Linked DNA regions of Astyanax mexicanus. The protein of the gene in region 1 purifies or fractionates together with the protein of each later gene. This does not show direct contact. Links are inferred from orthologs where the notes say so. Each region holds a gene or a part of one and is shown in the gene's direction. Other genes may lie near its edges.

Region 1 (7,086 bases):
TAAACAAGACAAAGGGTCTAAAAGCTGTGAGAATGATCAGTTGTAGTGGAAGAAACGAGACAAAGAGTCTAAAAGCGGCGAGAATGATCAGTTATAGCGGAATAAACAAGACAAAGAGTCTAAAAGCGGCGAGAATGATCAGTTGTAGCGGAATAAACAAGACAAAGAGTCTAAAAGCTGCGAGAATGATCAGTTGTAGCGGAATAAACAAGACAAAGAGTCTAAAAGCTGCGAGAATGATCAGTTGTAGAGGAATAAACGAGCCAAAGAGTCTAAAAGCGGCGAGAATGATCAGTTGTAGCGGAATAAACAAGGCAAAGACTCTAAAAGTGGCAAGATTGATCAGTTTTAGCAGAATAAACAAGACAAAGGGTCTAAAAGCTGTGAGAACGATCAGTTGTAGTGGAATAAACAAGACAAAGAGTCTAAAAGCGCCGAGAATGATCAGTTGTAGCGGAATAAACAAGACAAAGAGTCTAAAAGCGGCGAGAATGATCAGTTGTAGCGGAATAAACAAGACAAAGAGTCTAAAAGTGGCGAGATTGATCAGTTTTAGCAGAATAAACAAAACAAAGGGTCTAAAAGCTGTGAGAATGATCAGTTGTAGCGGAAGAAACGAGACAAAGAGTCTAAAAGCGGCGAGAATGATCAGTTGTAGCAGAATAAACAAGACAAAGAGTCTAAAAGCGCCGAGAATGATCAGTTGTAGCGGAATAAACAAGACAAAGAGTCTAAAAGCGGCGAGAATGATCAGTTGTAGCGGAATAAACAAGACAAAGAGTCTAAAAGTGGCGAGATTGATCAGTTTTAGCAGAATAAACAAAACAAAGGGTCTAAAAGCTGTGAGAATGATCAGTTGTAGCGGAAGAAACGAGACAAAGAGTCTAAAAGCGGCGAGAATGATCAGTTGTAGCAGAATAAACAAGACAAAGAGTCTAAAAGCTGCGAGAATGATCATTTGTAGCGGAATAAACAAGACAAAGAGTCTAAAAGCTGCGAGAATGATCAGTTGTAGCGGAATAAACAAGACAAAGAGTCTAAAAGCTGCGAGAATGATCAGTTGTAGAGGAATAAACGAGCCAAAGAGTCTAAAAGCGGCGAGAATGATCAGTTGTAGCGGAATAAACAAGACAAAGAGTCTAAAAGCTGCGAGAATGATCAGTTGTAGCAGAATAAACAAGACAAAGAGTCTAAAAGCTGCGAGAATGATCAGTTGTAGCGGAATAAACAAGACAAAGAGTCTAAAAGCTGCGAGAATGATCAGTTGTAGCGGAATAAACAAGACAAAGAGTCTAAAAGTGGCGAGATTGATCAGTTTTAGCAGAATAAACAAGACAAAGGGTCTAAAAGCTGTGAGAATGATCAGTTGTAGCGGAAGAAACGAGACAAAGAGTCTAAAAGCGGCGAGAATGATCAGTTGTAGCAGAATAAACAAGACAAAGAGCCTAAAAGCTGCGAGAATGATCATTTGTAGCGGAATAAACAAGACAAAGAGTCTAAAAGCTGCGAGAATGATCAGTTGTAGCGGAATAAACAAGACAAAGAGTCTAAAAGCTGCGAGAATGATCAGTTGTAGCGGAATAAACAAGACAAAGAGTCTAAAAGCTGCGAGAATGATCAGTTGTAGAGGAATAAACGAGCCAAAGAGTCTAAAAGCGGAGTTCAGTTGTAGCACAGAAAACGGGCCAAAGAGATAAGAGGCAAAATAATACAGACTGCCGTTTTAATGTTTCTTAGATTTAGGGAAAAAATGATAACTCCAATGAAACGACACAGTAATGGACAGTAAATGCATAAAATTTCAGGCACATTGGGAAAATTGCTATTTTTTAATAGCAATTTTCAGAGGGAAGTGTTAATATTTAATTTGTCAGGAATCAGTTGCTGTAATAAAGGAGTATATAATAATAATAATAATAATAATAATAATAATAATAATAATAATAATAATAATAATAATAATAATAATAAGTATAATAAGTATAATAATATTAAGAGACATTATGAAACGAAACATCAGTTTGAAAAATATTTGTGTACACAACACAGTCAAATATAGATAAAGATAGTAAAATGGTGTGTAAATGAAAATAGTAATAAAAATATATATTTTTATAAGTGGTATATTTCATTATTTGAGTCTGTGGCCCGTGACTGCACATATATTTCTCCTTCTGGCACCCAACATGTGCTATAACGTGAAATTTTTCAAATTATTGTTGCTTTTATTTTATTGTAATTTTGTTGTTGTAATGCTTTGGCTATATTTTAGTCATTACAGTAAAAAAAACAATGAAGCTATTATTCACATAAAGAGTACTGATTATTATTATTATTATTATTATTATTATTGTTATCACATGTCTTGTTACTGTTAATTATTTAACGTAATTTGTTTTTTCTTAGTAATGTGTTTATATGTATTTATTTATTCTAAGATTAAGCTGTATATTTATTGGACTTGTTGTATTTATTGGGATTGTTTGGTTCATTTTATTTATTTTTAAATAGTAAGTGCAGTTCTGTCGCTGTTTGTCCTGCAGTAAAGCAGCTGTCAGTGTGTATTATTGTATTAGTGTAATAGTGTGTATAGCGGTTTACAGGCTGGGTGTTGGAATGCTGTGCGCGCTGTTTAGCGGGTTTACGGTAATGAGAGTAGCGGCTATAGAGGGGTTCGGGACGTGGCAGCAAAACACGCTTCACTCTCTCTGCGGATTTACAGCAAACACCCAACAAACGAGCTGAAAACATCCAGCAGAAGTTGAGGATTAGTGCAGGATTAGGTGGATCTGTCAGTGATCAGAGGGTAAGTGTGAGTATGGTGAATATTCTGGGGTTCTGGAGCTGCAGAGTTCTGATACAGGAGTTTGTGGGCTGTTCCGGGGGTTCGGATCACTGTTACAGTAACCTTACAGAACTTAAACTAGTACAGAACTAGTATATATCTGTTAGGTATAAAACTACCAGGTATAGAACGTTTATATAACTATTAGATACAGAACTATTAGGTATACAACTAGTATACAACTGTTATAGAACTGTTAGGTACAGAACCAGTGTATAAGTGTTACGTAAAGAACTAGTTAGTATAGAACTGTTATGTATATAATTAGTATATAGCTGTTAGGTATAGAACTAGTATATAACTTTTAGGTATATAACTAGCAAATAACTGTTACGCAAAGAACTAGTATATAACTATAAGGTAGAGACCTAGTATAGAACTGTTACGTGTAGAACTATTAGGTATAGAACTGGTATATAACTGTTAGGTATAGAAACAGTATATAACTGTTACGTAAGGAACTAGTATATAACTGCTATGTATATAATTAGTACATGACCGTTATGTATAGAACTAGTATATAACTGTTAGCTATAGAACTAGTACATAACTGTTAGGTATAGAACCAGTATATAAGTGTTACGCAAATAACTAGTATAGAACTATTAGGTACAGAACTAGTATATAACTGTTATGTATATAACTAGTATAGAACTATTAGGTATAGAACTATTAGGTATACAGCTACTATATAACTGTTAGGTACAGAACTAGTATAGAACTATTAGGTATATAACTATTAGATACAAATCTAGTAGTTGAAACTGATCCAGGGTCAGTGGGTAAACTGTGAGTAAAGTGTGTTAAAGTGTTGGGGTTAAATGGAAGCAGACTGTAGTGAAGTGTTGTGCAGATCTCTGTGTTGGGGCTGTGCCGAGATTTGGATGTTCTAGAAACATCCTGTAGAGAGTCACTGTGTGTGTAGAGTTACTCAGTGTGTAGACTGGCTGGAGGGTGTAGTACTTTTTGCAGATGGAACATTAAATAAACATTATTTTTGTTTGCATTACATCTTTTAACACTTTAAAATCTGTGTAAAATTCCTTACGGAACTCTCTACTTTACTTTAACTCATTAAGCTCCTAAAGCGATACATACTGACTACAGGACTCAGTGTGAATCTGTGTTTTCATTCATCTGATTTTATTTATTTGCAGAATGTAGGAGCACTTTAGGATTAGTGCTGGAGATAAAACTAAACTAGCTTCTTTTAAAAGTGTATTTTCAGCTTTTCTTTAGCTGCTCTGTTTTAACCATTTAACCCTTCAAACATTTAAAGTGTTATTGAAACATGTTTTAAATGTCAGGGCTCTTATGAGTTTTATGAGTATACTTTGAGTTTATTAATGGTGTAGAAATAGTGGTTTCTTTGCATGGGTATCTCTATGACCCTATCATTAGTATTTTAGGTCTTTTGGAAGTATCAGCTAAAAGTGTTGTATTTGGGAATGCTGGGGTGAAGGAGGTGGAGGCTATTTAATAAAAGTTAGATAAAAATCCAATTTTCGATTAGAATAGATTATTTTCCTCTCCTACTAATAATCAAACTACACATGGCAAAGAAATGATTAAAAACGATAAATGGTTTGTGACTGAAAATAGAGAATTAACGCACTAAGCGAGTCATAGTATAGAAGAAACTTTGAAGGAGAGATTTTTATTATTATTGTTTTTCACAGTTAATTACGGATCCTCACCAGAGAGCGATGCACTGCAGTTTTTATAAAGTGTTGTAGGTTTTATTTCTAGATAAATATATGCTTTAAAGTGCTGGAACTGTTTTCGGTAAAAGCTCAGTCCTCAGACTGAGTAAATATGTGCGGGTTAGTCTGTGGGAGGCATCAGTAACCAGGGTAAGACGGATAAAAACTTCAGCGTTTTCAGATATTTAGATTAAAAACATAAAATGTCTGTATGTAAAACTGTGATTATTCCATTTTGAAAATCGCATTAACACTGTAATTTTAAATCATCGAATTCAAATACTAATATATCAGTATATCGATATATCGCATTGTTTTTATTTTCGATACATTATCAATATCATTTTCAAAGTTTTTGGTTTTTTTATTGAAACATTTATTAAAGCGCTCTAAACTTTCTAAGATTTGCCCCCTCCATTTAGATTTACTAAAGTTACTGCTTCATTACTCCACATGATGGCGCTATAATCAAACTGAACTAAAAATTAATGATAAAACACGAAAAAATGACGAGGCTTTTAAAATATTATTATGAATTCTGGAAGTCTTTAACCAGAAGCTTTCAGAAGCTGAACAGTTCAGCAGGAAGTGATGAAGCTACAGTGCGTTTATCTGATTATCTGATAATCACTGAATCCAGACCAGCTGAGCTAAACTCTAAAAGACTGCACTGCTCAACATCACCAGCCTGAACCTGTTTTATCTCCCGTCATACTTTCCCCATAATCTAAAGAACAACGTCAAAGCACAATGTCAAAAGTCTGTACACAACTTAAATTCAGTGCTTTTTTCAATATTTTATGTTTATTATATATTATATATTTTTTTCTACAATGTTCTGCATTGTAGATTAATACTAAACTCATCTAAACTATAAAAACATATGAAATTATTTAGTAAACAAAAAAGTGTTGAACCAGAATGTTTGTTTGTTTAACTGCTGGATTTTCTCAGTCAGTTTAATGAGGTAGAGTCTCCTGGAATTCAGGTTTCAGTTAACAGCTGTGCTGAACTCATCAAGAGTTAATTACTTGAATTTCTTGTCTCTTAATAAAGTGTTTGACAGCATCAGTTAAAGTAAAGTAGTGAAGAGGTAGAGTTACAGGTATACAGTGAATAGTGAATATTTGAATAATGTTCTAATCCAGATTATGAGAAACAAAAAATACTCAGGTAAAAAAAATACTTAAAAGTTCAGTAAATCGGAAAAAAGGAGAATTTCAGAAACTTTGAAAGTATCCTCAAGTACAGTCAATGCAAAAACTGTAAAAAAATAAACATTATGATGATGAAACTGGCACTCATCAGGACCGCCCCAGGAAAGGAAGGGAAGAGCGAGAGTTTCCTCTGTTGTACAGGATGAGTTCATCAAAGTTTCCATCTTCAGAAACCAGTTAACAAACAGCTCCTCAGATAAAAGTATCTAAATACTTCTTTACAAAAGTGATTAATTTAGCTTGAAAATACAGTTAGCATCGCTAGTTAGCCGTTAGTCATCTCCCTTAACATTAGCAGTCTGTTAGCCTTGCTAGCATTGGGCCCACTGCTGCATTCTGGTGTTGTGAGGGTACAGTAATAACTAAAGACTTGAATAAACTATAACCATAACCCACATATTATATCCAATAAAAGAACGTATTAATCTAATCAGCACAAAAACATCAACCTTTTATTAATAAACAGGGAATAATTCATCTCTGAAATACAGTTAGCATCAACAGTTAGCCGTTAGCTCTCCCCAGCGGTCTGTTAGCCTAGCTAGCATTGGGCTGACAGATTTTATTTTGGTGTTGTGAGGGTAATAACTAAAGATTTGAGTAAATTCTAGTAATAATACAGAAATAATATAATATCACATCAGCCACCAACTCTTAACCAGCACAAACACATCAGTCTTTTATTAAAAACAGGGAAATTTTAGCTCTAAAATACAGTTAGCATCGCCAGTTAGCTAGCTGTTAGCCATTGATGCTAATCTGCTATTCCCTATGTGCTATAAAACAAGTACTTGTAAACCAAGGAAATGTTTTTTTAATTTTATTCAGACTTTACTAAGTATTTTTTTTTATAAAAATGTTTAAATTTCTTATATCATATTATTTTTAAGCAGGGCTGGTATTTTTTATTAATAAAGAGCAACACATTCAGCTATTAATGTACAAAAGATGGACAAAAATGAACAACGCTAAAGAGCAGCATGTGTTTAAATGCAATGAGCAAAAAAAATTGGGTCGCCTTAATTTTATAGGTACTTTATTTATCCCGAACTAAACTTGTATAGCAAGTTATATATTTTCAGTTGTTCTTTGTGTTAATTTAAGTTTGAATATATTTCTTATTGTGTTGGGTTGTTGCTGCTGGATGCCTAAATTTCCTTCGGGATAAATAAAGTATCTATCTATCTGTCTGTCTGTCTGTCTGTCTGTCTGTCTGTCTGTCTTTCTTTCTTTTTTTTCCATCATCAACCTTAACTGATTGATCAGCAGCTGCTGGTTGAACTGGATTATTTGCTGTTTCTGGTGATTTCATTCACACTCT
Region 2 (7,086 bases), on another chromosome or scaffold:
GAAGCAATTTTATACCATTTTCTGAAAATCCCCATTTAGTTCCTAAGAACTTGTAAAGAAAGATATTTTTATCATCTACAACCCAATGTACAGATCCTACACTACACAACCACAAATTACATGTCCGCCTTAATTTAAATGTGACCACATATATGTTGTTAGCTGAATTTTTCAGAAAGATGGTTCTTGGCATTACAGTAAAAACATGGTGGCAAACAAGGAATTTGTCATATATGCTTATAAAAAAGTAAGCCCATATTTTGTACTGCTGCTAACAATTTCATTACAGCTCTTTTCAGAGCAATGGTTCAAAAGAAAATCCAGAAAATCGGAATGGTATAAAATATTAGTCTAGTGTTTACCATACAAGGTCATTTTTATTTTTTAAAAGAGGGTGGTGGTGGTGGTTGAAGGGCTATTAATTTATTAAAGGCAATGAAGGTACTATACAACCATGACAACTTAAAGAACCAAAAATAAAAGAAATCTGACAGCACTCCCATTATATCCAAAAACATATTTATTCACAGATAGTCAAAGATAGATTAAATATTTTAGACACGCCAACCAATCTGGCAGTCTATATGTAGCAGAGTAGCAGAGGCAACTTACAGCCATAATTCATCACCTTCCACATCCTCCATTTAAAATATACAAATATTTATATAAATAATAATCAGAATAATAAAATATTAAACTTCAAGGTCTTATTAACTTATTTTCAAAGCAACTATAACCACACAGATAAGCATATGTTTATTTATTTTTTTTAATTAAAAACAATTCCACTTACCATCTGAAAAAAAAGAGGAAAAAAATATTAAATTAGAGAAATCAAAGTCAACCTGCAATCTTTTGATTGATAAATACATTAACTTATACTGTAAAAGCTTTTTGTTTCAGTGTCTCAGACAAAAAAAAGAAAAATGTTTTGACATGATTGTTTTTGTGATTTGGGGTCAATGGAAAATGAACTATTCCTTTTAATGTAATTTGAACTTGAAATACATAAGTAATGTAAAGTCTTAAAATCCTGAAATAATAAAAAAGGTGCAAAGGAAACAAGCTCATATTCATAAAGTTTTAAAAGTTTGGAAATCTGAAATATGGTGGAATAACCCTGGTTTTTTAATCACAGTTTTCATGCACATTGACATGTTCTCCTCCACCAATCTTACACACTGCTTTTTGATAAATTTATGCCACTCCTAGTACAAAAAATCAAGCAGTTCAGCATAATTTGATGGCTTGTAATCATCCATCTTCCTCTTGATTATATTTTCAGAGGTTTTCAGTTTGGTAAAATCAAAGAAACTCATTGTTTTTAAGTGTTTTTTTCTAGAGCTGTATGTGATTTTATTTCAAGTTGTTTTGGAACATTTATTTTGGTCTACTCATCATGGCACTTTGACACAATGTTAAAAAAACTGAAAGATTTAAAAAGTTTTTTAGATTTTTGACACTTTTTACCAATGCATAAATGAGCACTAAAGTATATATTTCTTGATTTTTAAAAATACACATTAAACACCTAACACTAAAAAAAATCACTGTTAGACAAAACTACAAACCACAATAGTGTTCTGCAGACTTATTCAGTCTTTTCACTTTTCACTGGTTTTGCTTTATGCTTTTTTTTTGTCATTTTCTGACGAATAATTTCAGTTGCCAAATATAGGGTTTAGTTGCTTATTACCATGTGAACCGCCGCTAACCTGATTTACTTTAATAAATTAACTGAACTGAGTAATGAAGTAGCCAGTTAATTTAAATGGTTTGATGAACCATGTGTTGTGTTGTATCTGTAGGCGTGTGAATTTTAATAGGAAATGGTTAAGATAACACTTAAACATAGATTAATACATTTCTGCTCAGATAAACAACTTATCTTATTATTTTCTCCCATATCTAAAGATTTCTTACACATCTCACACCTTCTCTAAACGTCTCTGAACGACTAGAGTAAACGTGAGCAGAACAGTAGCTCTCCTCTCCACACTGACCCTGAAGCACCTGAAGGCGATGAGGTGGCGTTTTCCCTCAGAGAAGCTCGCGCTGCTTTCATCTGCGTTGTTTTAAGCGAAAAAAAGCGTCTTGGATTCTTGGATGGGGTGAAGAATGAGGGGGAGAGAGGAGCGCTGTGATTGGCCAGCCGCGCAGATGCGACGTGTCTGCGGAAGAGAGAGAGAGATGGAGCGCTGCTGAAGCCAAGGAGCTCGCGCGCGTTTTATTTTATTTTTTAATAATAGCACTGCGCGTGCGCGTTTATTGCGTCGTGGCTGTAGTGATGGGTCAGCAGCATCTTCATTTATATACATCTATATTCACTATATATATATATTATATGTTTATAACTAACTTTAAAACTGATTTTAGTGATTTTTGGTATCATGTGATGATGCATGTCTACAATGTGGGAGCAGCAGCTCTGCTTTGGAGCCACGTAGACCGACTGACTGCCTAGTCACACAGTCAGTCCCCCAGACATGCAATTGATGAAATGAAGACTGTTTATGTGCAGAAAACTGGGAGTGAACTGGGAATAAAGAAGGTCTGGGCGTATGAGTGAAAAAGTGCTTCATTCTTGGTGGTATTAAAATAAAAAAAATGATTGCATTAAATGTAAAGACAAAATATTTATATTATAGAGTAAATGTTTATTAAGCCAAATCCATTATGCACTATATTAGACTAATATCTAGATGCCTGAGTTTTTTCCACATTAAAAATGTATACAATTTATTATTATAGATTTGGGATTTATCTTGGTCTGATAAATAGGCTGGATCCTGGAAATTAAGCCCATGAATAAATGTGTACTTCCAAATGAAGTCAATTTACAGACTCTATTTACCTTTTATGAAAAAGTCTTCACACTGTTAAAATCCAACATAGCAAATTATACCAAGTTGATTTGGGCTAAAAATGAATAAATAAACAAAAGTCTATAAACAATACATTTTACTTTATAGCAGAAAGAGTGCATTAAAAATAAGGGCAAAATAAATCATTTCCCTCTTTGAGAAACTGCTCCTTATTAATGTTGTGTATTCCAGGGTTAAACTTAAGTCACCTCTGAGAAACCCCACAATTGCAAATATATGAGATGTCATTGAACTGATTAAATTAAATCTCAAAATCTTTCAATATGGTGACATAAATGTATCACATGTATGCATTTATGAATAAACATCCACAGCTAATAGACAAAACCATACCATGCATATTCTGATACCAAGCAAGCAGAGCCCAGAAGAAGAATAAACGTGTCGAAATTCAACAACAACAATGCACTCCATCCCATCTTGGCTTCTGTTGAATAAGGTGAGAAGAAAGTAAGAAGGTAAGAAGGTTCAGGCCTGCCTGCCTCCTCTATCCAACTGAACCAAAGCTGGCTTTTTGGTTTGCTTAACCCCTTAGATTTTCTCTCTAAAAGATCAAGTTTCCCAGTTTCTTTAGATGCTAGGGTGAAGCAAGCAAAAAAAGAAAAAGAAAAAGACGAGTTCTGGAGACAGCCCCTCCGTCTGGTGAAGGAGGGTCCGTTTTTTTTCCTCCTCTCCTGTTAAACGGGAACATGCCTGAGCTCTGTGGAGCGCCCGGCACCTCCCCAAAAGTTTGGAGTATAAAAGCGTGGGGGAAAAGTGCGTTTAGGCAGTAGGGAGTTTCTGCTGGGGTCTGGACTGGAGTCAGAGAAGACCGGACCCTACTGTGTATGATTGGAGTCTAAAAAAGAACTTCCCTCGCCTCAAAGAGTCTACATGTCTAATATTTAGACATGTTCAGCTTTGTGGATATTCGGCTGGCGCTGTTGCTCGGTGCAACAGTGCTTTTGGCAAGGGGGCAAGGCGAGGACGACCGTGAGTATCTTCTCTATCTTCACATCCAGCTTCTTTTTCTTCTTGATTAGGACTTTGACTGGGTAGGATGGGCTGCCTTTGGGGGGAAAAGCAAAAAAAAAAAGGGCAGAGTGAGGGCAGTGAGGGGTTGCCAGGGATGCCAAGCTCTGGGGAAGCTTGTATCTATCTCTATGCTATGCTATTTTAAACATGAGGGGAGGAAGAACAGCAACTTCAGTGATTGAAAGTTGAAGGTGCAGGAGATTCACTAGGAGTATCACTATGTTGAGAGTCTGTCTTCAAGAGCTTGCTTGCTTGCATGCATGGAGGCAAGTTGGCACAGGCTTAGAGACTCGTCCACCCTCCCAACACCCCTCCTTTAGCTACTCTCCATGCTTAACATTAGTGATGCCCTGGAGCTATGCTTTAGTTCAACAGCTGCAAAATAATGTACAGAGGGGTAAAAAAACAGTAAAAAAGTAAAAGTGCTAAAGCACATATGGATTTATAGCTTATACAGTGTTGTTTAGCTGTGTATTGTTTGTAATAAAGTGTTTACATGTTTGATCTAAACCAGAAACTACCAAAAAAAATCTGATTTAGCTAAAAAAAAACCCGACTCGTTTGGAGTCTTTAGTTCTACTAGTCTAAAGTCGACATCCACCACGTAACTCGTTGGAACTTTTGAGGTTTAGGTTTTTCTCCCATGGAAAAAGTGATGAGCTCATCTTTGGACCATGACTATGTCATGCTAAACAAGGAGATCAGAACATTAAAAAAACTAAAGTGATGTTAAAAAGCTATTTATTTATCTTAGAATTTGGGGGGAACTACTTAACATTAGTTGTTTAACATGGTAGAAACTTTTTCTTGTCTTCAGATTCCTTCACACAAAAAGAGCTACCCGTCCAGACATCTGCAATTGTCCTTAACGCTTTGAGAAGCGCAATTGCAGTCCTGCAGCGCCTCCTAGCGATCAGGTTTGGGACTGGCCTGCTTTTTGGCAGCAGCCTCAGCAGAGCCCCCACCCCGCCTCTGGTGTTTTTATGATAATGTAAAACACATGTGGGCTTTGCAGACTTTCCACTAAGGGAAAACGCATGTTGCTGCCAAGCCGACGGGTTTCGATTATTTTATGACATACAGTGAACCCCGAAAGACGTGGACCTTTTCCCTCCTGAGCCTTTTCCCCTTGCTTTACAAAAGGGAAAGGCATTGTTAGATAGAGCGCCATCAAGAGTCACAATGATGACATTACATATAGCCGATCTGGCTAAAAGTCGCTGATGAATGAATTTGAATGGATTGGAGCATTGAGCTCAATAATAATAAAAAAAAAAACAGATGATGAGATTTGTGTGCAAGCGTAGGACGAAAATAAAATATACAGTTAGTGCCTTAAAAAAATTAAATTAAATAAAAAACAACAGAAGAATCAGCAGTTAAAGTGGACCCTGCGCTTTAGAAAATATACTTTTAGACCTTTTTTGCGGAAACATTTTTTCCTATCCGTATTTAGTCTTCACATTTTTACATTAAAATTATTTGAAAATTATTTTTTGTTTGTTTGTTTTGCGAAAAAATAATATAGGCTATAAATAGCTAGAATAATATTCTTGATTTCAGGCCTATCATCGCCAATAATTGCATTAAAAATAAAAACAATATGAGCAGTGATAGCAATGATTGTGAATTTGGTGCAATTAAAAAATATATCCATGTTATAGATAGTATTGATATATTATTAATTTATTTAATTATTATTTTAATGATTATAATGTACATTTGGGATTGTTTATGTAAGGCAGCTATGTATATATTCTTCTGCCTTACAAAACAATAATAAACGAAATAATAAAATAAATTAAAGAATGATCAAAATCATTTGTTTAAATGTGTTTGCGAACGCTTATTACAAAAAAAAATAATTAAGTAACACGCTTTAACGTGTTTTTCTTATTTTATTTGTGTCCTTAGGCACAGGCAGCAGCTGTACGTTGGACGGCCAGGTCTACAATGACCGGGACGTGTGGAAACCGGAGCCCTGCCAGATCTGCGTGTGCGACAGCGGCACGGTCATGTGCGACGAGGTGATCTGCGAGGACACCAGCGACTGCGCCAATCCGATCATCCCCCCAGATGAGTGCTGCCCTGTCTGCCCTGATGACGGTACGGAAGCCCGCTCTAAAGCCCCGCCCACCCGCCTGTATCGTGGGAAGTTAATTGGGAAAATTACAACAGCGGTTTTTCCAAGCGGATTTCAGATTTGTCTGGCCTTCGTTTTGTGGAGATCCCTTCCTTTTTCCCCTCTCTGGATTAATTAAATGCTGCCTCAGGTTCTTTGTAGAGCTTTTAGGGGTTCTTCAGTTTGAAACAGTGCTTCAAGGAACCTTCAGGAAACATTTATCCTCAAAGCACCTTAATATAAGGGGTTCCTCCAGAGATTCTAATTGAAGAACCCCTAAAAAGTCCCCCACTGAAAAGTACACTTTGGGTGTCCAGTCTTATCCACAAGGAACAGCTGGAATGGCTGGCTGCAGGCCTTTCATTCAGATCAAGCTGCAGCACGCCTGAGCACTCACTTGTTTGCACTGGTTGAATCAGTTGCTTTCAGTCAAACTACTGAACTTCTGATCAGGTGTGGTGTGCCTGCCCCTGGCTCTGCTAGAATGAATGAATGAAACCCTCCCTCCATCCTGCCTCGTGGATGAGACCTGACACCCCCTAGCCTCGACCCCTTGGCTTTTTACCACACTTAGTGATCCAGGGGACAGATACAGGTCAAAAGGTCATGTGACATGCAGCATGCTGTTATTTATGAGGCTTAGCATGGCTTTGTATATCATTTAGAATTACTTTCATGCTATTTTACACTTATTTATCATTTACTCATCAGTCCTTTTTGTATGATTTTAATTTTTCTTTTTTCACTTTTTCTTTTATTTTGTAGAATACCAAGAGCCCAGAGCTGAGGTAATTGTTTTTATTATTATTATTATTATTATTTTACCATCTTATTATGTTTATTCACTTGATTATTTCAGTTTCTTTGCTTTTTGTTACTGGCCAATGTGCTTGTAGTTATACATTCATATGTTCATACACTGTACATTTATTAATCATTTAAATAATATTATTTTATAGGGTCCCAGAGGTGAGCCTGGTGACAAGGGCGAGAGGGTAGGTTTCATTTCCACATCTTTTAGTGATGAAAGCTGTTTAATTTGATCTGTTTAATTTTACTATTATT

What was found. Proteins that work in one complex are often made in the same cells at the same time.
Region 2: the proteins of p4ha2 (region 1) and col1a1a purify together in Homo sapiens (co-immunoprecipitation; 3 studies listed by BioGRID and IntAct, counting the BioPlex papers as one, with this or other methods). This does not show direct contact. The link is inferred for Astyanax mexicanus from reciprocal best matches to the Homo sapiens genes P4HA2 and COL1A1.

The regions. Positions count from the first base shown.
Region 1 is NC_064424.1:891,734-898,819, reverse strand, and holds the start of p4ha2 (prolyl 4-hydroxylase subunit alpha-2), read left to right. Parts: upstream 1-2,644; 5' UTR 2,645-2,806; intron 2,807-5,873; exon of another isoform or gene 5,874-5,967; intron 5,968-7,086. UniProt on the Homo sapiens protein: Catalyzes the post-translational formation of 4-hydroxyproline in -Xaa-Pro-Gly- sequences in collagens and other proteins.
Region 2 is NC_064426.1:32,893,070-32,900,155, forward strand, and holds the start of col1a1a (collagen, type I, alpha 1a), read left to right. Parts: upstream 1-3,643; 5' UTR 3,644-3,775; coding exon 3,776-3,857; intron 3,858-5,813; coding exon 5,814-6,005; intron 6,006-6,786; coding exon 6,787-6,809; intron 6,810-6,980; coding exon 6,981-7,016; intron 7,017-7,086. UniProt on the Homo sapiens protein: Type I collagen is a member of group I collagen (fibrillar forming collagen).